Nothobranchius furzeri: one gene and its partner. The protein of the gene in region 1 purifies or fractionates together with the protein of each later gene. This does not show direct contact. Links are inferred from orthologs where the notes say so. Each region holds a gene or a part of one and is shown in the gene's direction. Other genes may lie near its edges.

Evidence for each region. Proteins that work in one complex are often made in the same cells at the same time.
Region 2: the proteins of ppp2cab (region 1) and sike1 purify together in Homo sapiens (affinity purification with mass spectrometry; 4 studies listed by BioGRID and IntAct, with this or other methods). This does not show direct contact. The link is inferred for Nothobranchius furzeri from reciprocal best matches to the Homo sapiens genes PPP2CA and SIKE1.

What each region holds. Positions count from the first base shown.
Region 1 is NC_091750.1:60,013,475-60,016,801, reverse strand, and holds the end of ppp2cab (serine/threonine-protein phosphatase 2A catalytic subunit alpha isoform), read left to right. Parts: intron 1-1,321; coding exon 1,322-1,531; intron 1,532-1,613; coding exon 1,614-1,787; intron 1,788-1,875; coding exon 1,876-1,965; intron 1,966-2,050; coding exon 2,051-2,212; intron 2,213-2,301; coding exon 2,302-2,420; intron 2,421-2,504; coding exon 2,505-2,577; 3' UTR 2,578-2,804; downstream 2,805-3,327. UniProt on the Homo sapiens protein: Catalytic subunit of protein phosphatase 2A (PP2A), a serine/threonine phosphatase involved in the regulation of a wide variety of enzymes, signal transduction pathways, and cellular events.
Region 2 is NC_091755.1:53,138,399-53,142,647, forward strand, and holds sike1 (suppressor of IKBKE 1), read left to right. Parts: upstream 1-1,343; 5' UTR 1,344-1,488; coding exon 1,489-1,647; intron 1,648-1,945; coding exon 1,946-2,051; intron 2,052-2,133; coding exon 2,134-2,276; intron 2,277-2,371; coding exon 2,372-2,485; intron 2,486-2,882; coding exon 2,883-3,005; 3' UTR 3,006-3,836; downstream 3,837-4,249. Other genes in the region: micos10 (MICOS complex subunit MIC10), read left to right, coding at 4,204-4,249.

The sequences.
Region 1 (3,327 bases):
CGACAGGGATTTCTTAGTTTAGCAGCGATTATAAAATTTACACAGAAACGAGCTTCGAAAACATCCCCAAAGTCCTTATTTTTTGAGTACATGTATCGTTTCTGCTCTTTTTGAACATCACCTGATTTCTCCGTAAGCTGAAACGACCCGAGGGTTTCCAGCAGGTGTTGATGGACGAGTTTGGCTCAGAACCTGATACGTTGGACTTAATTAAAGCTCGTCTTCATGACTACGGCAGCGTCAAAGATCCCTTTCTAATGTTCCATTTCGTGCTGACGGCATCATGAGCCATGACACCGACGTGAACTCGTAGACGTAGATATGTCTACGGTTTGACTAGGATGAGGAACCCAGACAGATCCACTTTATCTCCTGTCGCCTCATCCATTCAAAGATGGGTCCTGTGTGTTTGTGTTCCACTTTCATCCAGACACCTAGAATATTCTTCTCTGGCTTAGTGCCTCTGTTTGCTTTAGAGATTTGTGGCTCAGTGTGGCCCCCGAAGCCTCCTGCCGCACGCCGGTCGGGACACGTGGAGTTTGGATGCAATGTAGGTCAACGTTGTGCAACGCTGCAGCGCCATCCTGGCCCGTCTGGGTTTCTATCCCATCAGCTGGCCACCAGCCAAGGAACACACTCGTTCTCTGGTTTGTGAAGGGATCCACGGTCACACAGCTCACAAAAATACTCAGCAAACGGCCAAATTCCGGGTGATTTACCATGAAGGTAAAACAATCGGAAACATAAAAGCAGTCACAGCTGGAGGTTACCAATCAAGCCAACTGGTGGTAAATCCTGTCTTATTTTAATGGTGACTTCCTCTGGCTCTGGCTGTAGGCCACATGCTGAGTCATGCTCTGCAGCAGCCAGTCAGGCCCCTCTGATGATTTATGGGTAAAAATAAAATGCTTTAATAATCCAGAATCACATTTATTTTTCTGAATTTAACACGTTAATCTAATTTGTCTGATCCGATGTGAATTAACATCAAAGTGAACCAAAACTTTTATGCAAATCCACTAAAATTTATTCTGCACTTGCCTTTTAATCTTCGGAGGATCACATTTATGGATTTTTAGAAACGTTGCCGTGCAGCCAGAGCTGCCCGTCCGGGCACCACAGGGTCGCCCCACAGGAAGCTAGTCGCTGCATCAAAATGCTATCAGCCCCGCTCCGTGTGCAGCATCCTGATGAGACGTGATGGAGGCCGTTGTAAGCGCTAGCAGGAAGTGGGCTGTGCCTGAATGAAGACAAAAAGAAAATGGTGGCCTTTGCCTGGCTTGTGCAAGTTTTAATTCTCTAATCAACTTTCCTTCTGCAGGCAAAGGAGATCCTGACCAAAGAGTCCAACGTCCAGGAGGTGAGATGTCCAGTGACCGTGTGTGGCGACGTGCACGGCCAGTTCCACGACCTCATGGAGCTGTTCAAGATCGGTGGGAAATCGCCGGACACAAACTACCTGTTCATGGGGGACTATGTGGACCGAGGGTACTACTCTGTAGAAACCGTCACATTACTTGTAGCTCTTAAGGTGACTTTGTCAGACATTTAAAACAGTTTTTTTTTCCTCTTTGGGGTGAAAAACGCGACGTAAACAGATGTTTGTGTTTCAGGTTCGCTTCCGGGAGCGCATCACGATCCTCAGAGGGAACCACGAGAGCAGACAGATCACACAAGTCTACGGCTTCTACGACGAGTGCTTAAGGAAATACGGAAACGCAAACGTTTGGAAATACTTCACAGACTTGTTCGATTACCTCCCCCTCACTGCGCTGGTAGACTCTCAGGTGAGAGGAGCGTAATAAAAAAGACCGAACTTGACGTTTCTTTGAAAAGCATCATAATTTGTTATAATTATCGATTTTTTTTCCTCAGATTTTCTGCCTCCACGGGGGCTTATCACCGTCTATAGACACGCTGGATCACATCAGAGCTCTGGATCGTTTACAGGAAGTGCCGCACGAGGTAAAGAAAGACGTTAAATGTGGTGCAGATCAGCAACGAAACAATAAAGATAAAAACGTTTGTGACCATTCTCGTTGTCACGCAGGGTCCCATGTGCGACCTGCTGTGGTCAGACCCCGACGACCGCGGCGGCTGGGGCATCTCTCCCCGAGGAGCTGGCTACACATTTGGTCAGGACATCTCTGAAACGTTCAACCACGCCAACCGCCTCACGCTGGTGTCCCGCGCCCATCAGCTGGTCATGGAGGTTTGTCTTTGTGTCCAAAGATGATTAAAAACAAAGAAGCAGTGCCGCTAAGTTCAGATGCGTGTTAATATTACATCTGCTTACCTCAGGGCTACAACTGGTGCCATGAGAGGAACGTGGTGACCATTTTTAGTGCTCCTAACTACTGCTATCGCTGTGGAAACCAGGCAGCCATCATGGAGCTAGACGACACCCTCAAATACTCTTTGTAAGCAGGCGAATTTCATCACGAGTGGACAAAGAAATCTTAGAATAAGTTGTGATTTTTTTTCTTCCTGATGTTCCTCCTCAGCTTGCAGTTTGATCCAGCGCCTCGCAGAGGAGAGCCCCATGTAACTCGCCGCACCCCAGACTACTTCTTGTAAACCTGCAGTCTCGACCCGCGCACGGTCCGGTCCGGTCCTGTCCAGAACCACCAACCTATCTGACTTTGAACTGAAAACAACGTGATGGAGGCCTGAGAGGCTGCAGTGTTGCACGTTGTGTTTATCCAATCTAGTTAAAGCATTTCGCAAAAGCAAATGTGTCTATAAACGGACCAAAAGGTGTGTGCCATGATCACTTAAATATTTATTGTATCTGAAATGACAAAATAGAACATCCTGGATGTCTCGGCTCCTCCTCCTGTACATATGGAGCTGGGTTGACGGCACCAAAGTCCAAGACTAATTTGCTACTGCAGACCATGGTTTTTGAGATTTGAATGTGATTTGTTTGCACTTTTGTACAGTTAAAGAAATGTTAAATATGTCAAAAAGATTAATACGATTTCACGATATTGATAGTTTTTTTGTTGTTTATTTTTAAATTGCATGTAAACCTTCAGTTTTTTTTGACCTGTGTATGTTTTAGGAAAATCCCTTCTCATGCAGTCAGATGGCTTGGTTTATAGAAAAGATGGAGTGTTCATCAACTCACCTGCTTCCTTTTAGCTTCAGACTCTATAATAACCTACTAGAATAATAAAGATGACTTCTTGAATTGTGTTTTTGGTTATTCTTCATTCTTGTAAAAAGTCTAGTTATATTTGGATTTCTCTGGCCAGTTGTAATTACACTGACACAGCAAGGCGAAGACATAAAAAATACATTTATTTAAATGTGAATTTAAATTAT
Region 2 (4,249 bases), on another chromosome or scaffold:
TATAAACGCCTCAGACTTCTAAAGAAACGTTGCTCAGGCTACAATGCCACGTATTCTTCATTTGATTTTAATAAATGGTATATTGATACTTTCGAAAAAATATAAACAAAGATGCTTTCTTTCAAGAGAAGTACGTCGTATAAATTGTTTTTTGTAATTATTTGGAAAACTTAAGAATAAACGTAAAGGTCCAGTTTAAGGTGTATCGTTAAGAAGTAGGTTGGCACATTTGCGACATCATCCAGCTGAAACAAATGCAAAAACCAAAATGGGAATTAGATCAAAACCAATTTTAAATCCGAAATTTGTCAGACGGCTAATCAAGTCCGATACAACACACATGCGCTAAAACGTGTTTGATTTCCTAACAGATCGAGGGTAAACGAAGAAAACACCGCGGCTAACGGCACGAGGATGATGGAAAACAAAGAAACTACCTACAAAGCTCGCGTCTACAAAAGTTGTGCACCAACTAGAAACGTCTTAAGTGTTAGAATGGCCAAAGTAGCATGTCTTCGGTACTTTAGACACGTCAAAGAAACGCCAGCTTGCTATTTAACCGTCGCTCGGTCGTTTGGAACGTTAGCTCGTTAGCCAGAGCACGCTGCTGTGGCCCGAGAAAAAACAAGGCATCCCCACCCAGGCCCGACTTCTGCTGTACACCGCCCGTTCGCTTTGGTGACCCCGCCTGAATTATAAAAAAATTAAATGCGAAATAAGACATTTAAATATATCTCAACGGTTTACCAAGCAGAGAAAAATAATATAAAACTCACCCCAACAGCTTTTAGCACTGTCACCAGCGCCGCTAGAAGCAGCACGGCACATTACGTAGTGATTAGGGAGACAGCTCCCGCGATATTTGACGAAGGCTAGGGAAGCCTCTGCAGCTGGCTCTGTTGTCACGCATGGGTTCATGGGAAATGATGTTCAGTTGTTTTGAAGTAAATAATCGGGCTCAACCTGGGCTCAACCGAGGTTTAAAAGGCATTAAATGCTTAATATGCAGTAAAGTATGCTATTAAATGTTAAAACGGCTTTTCCCACAGGTCTGCGCACCAGACACTCATGAAGATAGTTGGATAATGAAATTATTCAGAAAATGTCTATGCACACGGTTTCCTTGCCGAGAATGAGAAAACCAAAGGATTCGTAAACATTTTTACGTCTACGATGATACGTTTGACGGCAAGATACTTGTTTACGGTACAATCCCGGAAGTGACGCTATATTTTTTCCTCTCGAATACGAAGTTGCCAACAAAAAGAGGGATTTCTTTTGTTATACATTGTCCTGGTTTAATTAGTCATCTGTCTCTTGAGAAATGATCTAGGAGGGTCCGCTGAGATATGAATATTTGTTTGTAAAACATTTTTGTGCGTTTGAACAGCATAGCCAGCGTAAGCTACAGTACGGGCAAATTTTCGCCTGATCAAACTGGTATTTGGAAGCTTTAGTTTACAAATACGACTAGTCACTTAATAGCTAATGGCCTGTACTTTTGAAAAAGTGTTGGGGGATGCTAGGACCCTCCTGGAAAGGCTGAAAGAGCACGATACGGCTGCTGAGGGACTGATCGAGCAATCCGGGGCCCTCAGCCAGAGAGTGCAGGGCATGAGGGAGGTGGGCAATGCTCTTCCAGACAAGGTAAGATGGTCTCTCACACATAAACGTTGGGTGAAAGTATATTTATATTAGAAGGCTGACTTAAGCCATGCATTAAGGATTTGGGGTTGCAGGTAAGCTTAAAATGACACTCTTCTCTAACTCTACTCAAGTACTTAGACATTTTGAGATAGAAGGTCTGATCGTCCAAAAAAGTACACCAGCCTTTAAAAGCATATTTAAATAATGGGAATTATTTATCAAGAGGTGGAACAGTCATCCAACTAGTGCTTAAAATGTATTTTTTACTTATGACATTTTCCTTGTTGCTGCCTTTTAGCACACAGAAGACAGCTCAGAGATTCGGGAACTCACAAAATACAAGCCTCACATCCTTCTGACTCAAGAAAACACTCAAATCAAGGAATTGCAGCAAGAGAATAAAGGTAAAATCCTTACAATGTTTTTAGGTATTTTTAGAGTTCATGTGTTTGTCTGTAATTTTTGTCTTCGCCACTGTTTCCGCAGAACTATGGCTGTCCCTTGAAGAGCACCAGTACACACTAGAACTGATCATGGGTCGATATCGCAAGCAGATGCTCCAGCTGATGATGGCAAAAAAGGAGCTGGACACGAAACCAGTGCTCAGACTACACCAAGACTACGTCAAAGTACACCAACTTTCATTGTGCTGTGAACATTCCCAGTCATGTAATTTTCTGACAGAAAAAGGGGTTTGAAGTTATGCTTTCTGAATCTTATCCAGGAAGTGCAAAGCCAGGTGGAACGGATATGTGAGATGGGCCAAGTGATGAGGAGAGCCATGCAGGTGGACGATCAGCACTTCTGCTCTGTTCAAGAGAGGCTTGCTCAACTGGAGGTAAGGACTGGAATGGCAGTCGTGATGTCAGGAGTTATCATTAAGCTTTTAAAAGGCAAAATCAGTGACTCTAAGGCTTTGAAACAGCTCAGGAAATTAGCATGAGTCTACAAACACACACAAGGCTTAGTGCTGCTAGCATAAAAACTGTTGGAGTTTCTCAGGTTTTCTTGTTTGCTAGTTTCCTGGAGCGTATGGTGCAGCATTAGATTATGAATGAAAATATCTGGACACACCTGAGATCAACTTAGAAACTCTTTGAGATGACTTTCTTGACTCATTCTGGTTAAAATGTTGATTCAATAAACCAAACTCGCATAGATACAACCATCTTGCATGGACTGGTGATAACGAGTAATCTACACGAGGTTACGTTTGGTTATCCGGGCTCTTTCAGATTGAGAACAAGGAGCTTCGGGACCTTCTGGCCATCAGCCAGGCATCTGTGAAGATGGGAAATGAAGAGAGCCACCAGCCATCAACACCAGCAGCAGCAGTGCCCTCAGGCAGTGACCAATGAGTGACCCGAGCAGCTGCAGTCTGAACTGATCAGGTGGAACAACCAACCAAACAGGAAGAGCTTTTTCTTTTTTAAGCACAACCTAGATTGCAGAATAATGTTTGTAAAAGTAATTTAAATTCAACATTAAAGCCATCAGAAGCATTTAACTACCAGTGGGTATATCATTATGATAGATATCTTTATGTACAGTAGTTGTGTTTTCACTGCAGCAATGTTGGGAGTGAATTCCTCATAAACGAACGGAGTTTGACTGAGGTGCTTTGGGTATCACTGGTTTATTTTATATTTATCTAAATGCTGAAGTGAAGCTGAGGGAGATTTATTTTTGTTTAGAATGGAGAAAGGATGAGTTTAATCTTTTAAGAACATAAAAAAGTAAAATGCCCAAAAAGTAAAATGCCTCTGTTTTAAACGCTAACTTGTACACCACGTGTGATGTTGTGTTCATCGCCAAGAAAATGACTATTGGCTGTTTCACAAAACAAAATGCCTGCGCTGGAATGACAGTGGGCAGTTTTTTAAAGAGATTGTAAATTTATAAATGTACATTTTGTCTGCCATAGTTGATTGTTATGCTTACAACATGATAAATACCAGTTTTTACTCTGAATTTTTAGATTGGATTGCAGAGTAAATGTGTAATAGTTGACTGCACATCTTTCTCACGGTAACATTTTGTAAGCATTACTTTTTTGAGTGTTATGTACTTGTGCACTGTTATTTTGTCATGAACTGTAAATGTCATCTCAGGAAATTACTGTTGGTTAAGTGAACATGTTTATGGAAGTGTAATTATTTGTGTAAAATAAAACTCGTTCTGAAAACTAAGTCATATTACCTTATGGTGAAGTTTTTGTTGATAAAACACAAAAACCTTATTTTTTAATTCAGGGTTTCACCGCTAGGTGGTGATTTTAAGCTCTTCTGATTGTGACAATGAGACGTTTGGAAAAACATCGCTCCAATAACATTTAAGTGGGAAAAAGCACCAAAAAACGTTAATTTATTTCAAGGCTTCAAAGTATTTTTATCATTGTCGATTATTTGATAAGATTTCATAAATGACGTGGTGAAATAATGGGAACTGCACCGCAATTTTCTTGTTATTCTAAATTTGATTTTCACAACTTGAATATTTTCCGGGTGACCTAAACGCAGCACCAGAGTCACATACCTGGAGCGAAGCTAAGTCAGGATGTCTGAGAAGGAGCTCGGTAAAAAGTGGGACCGGTGCCTCGCAG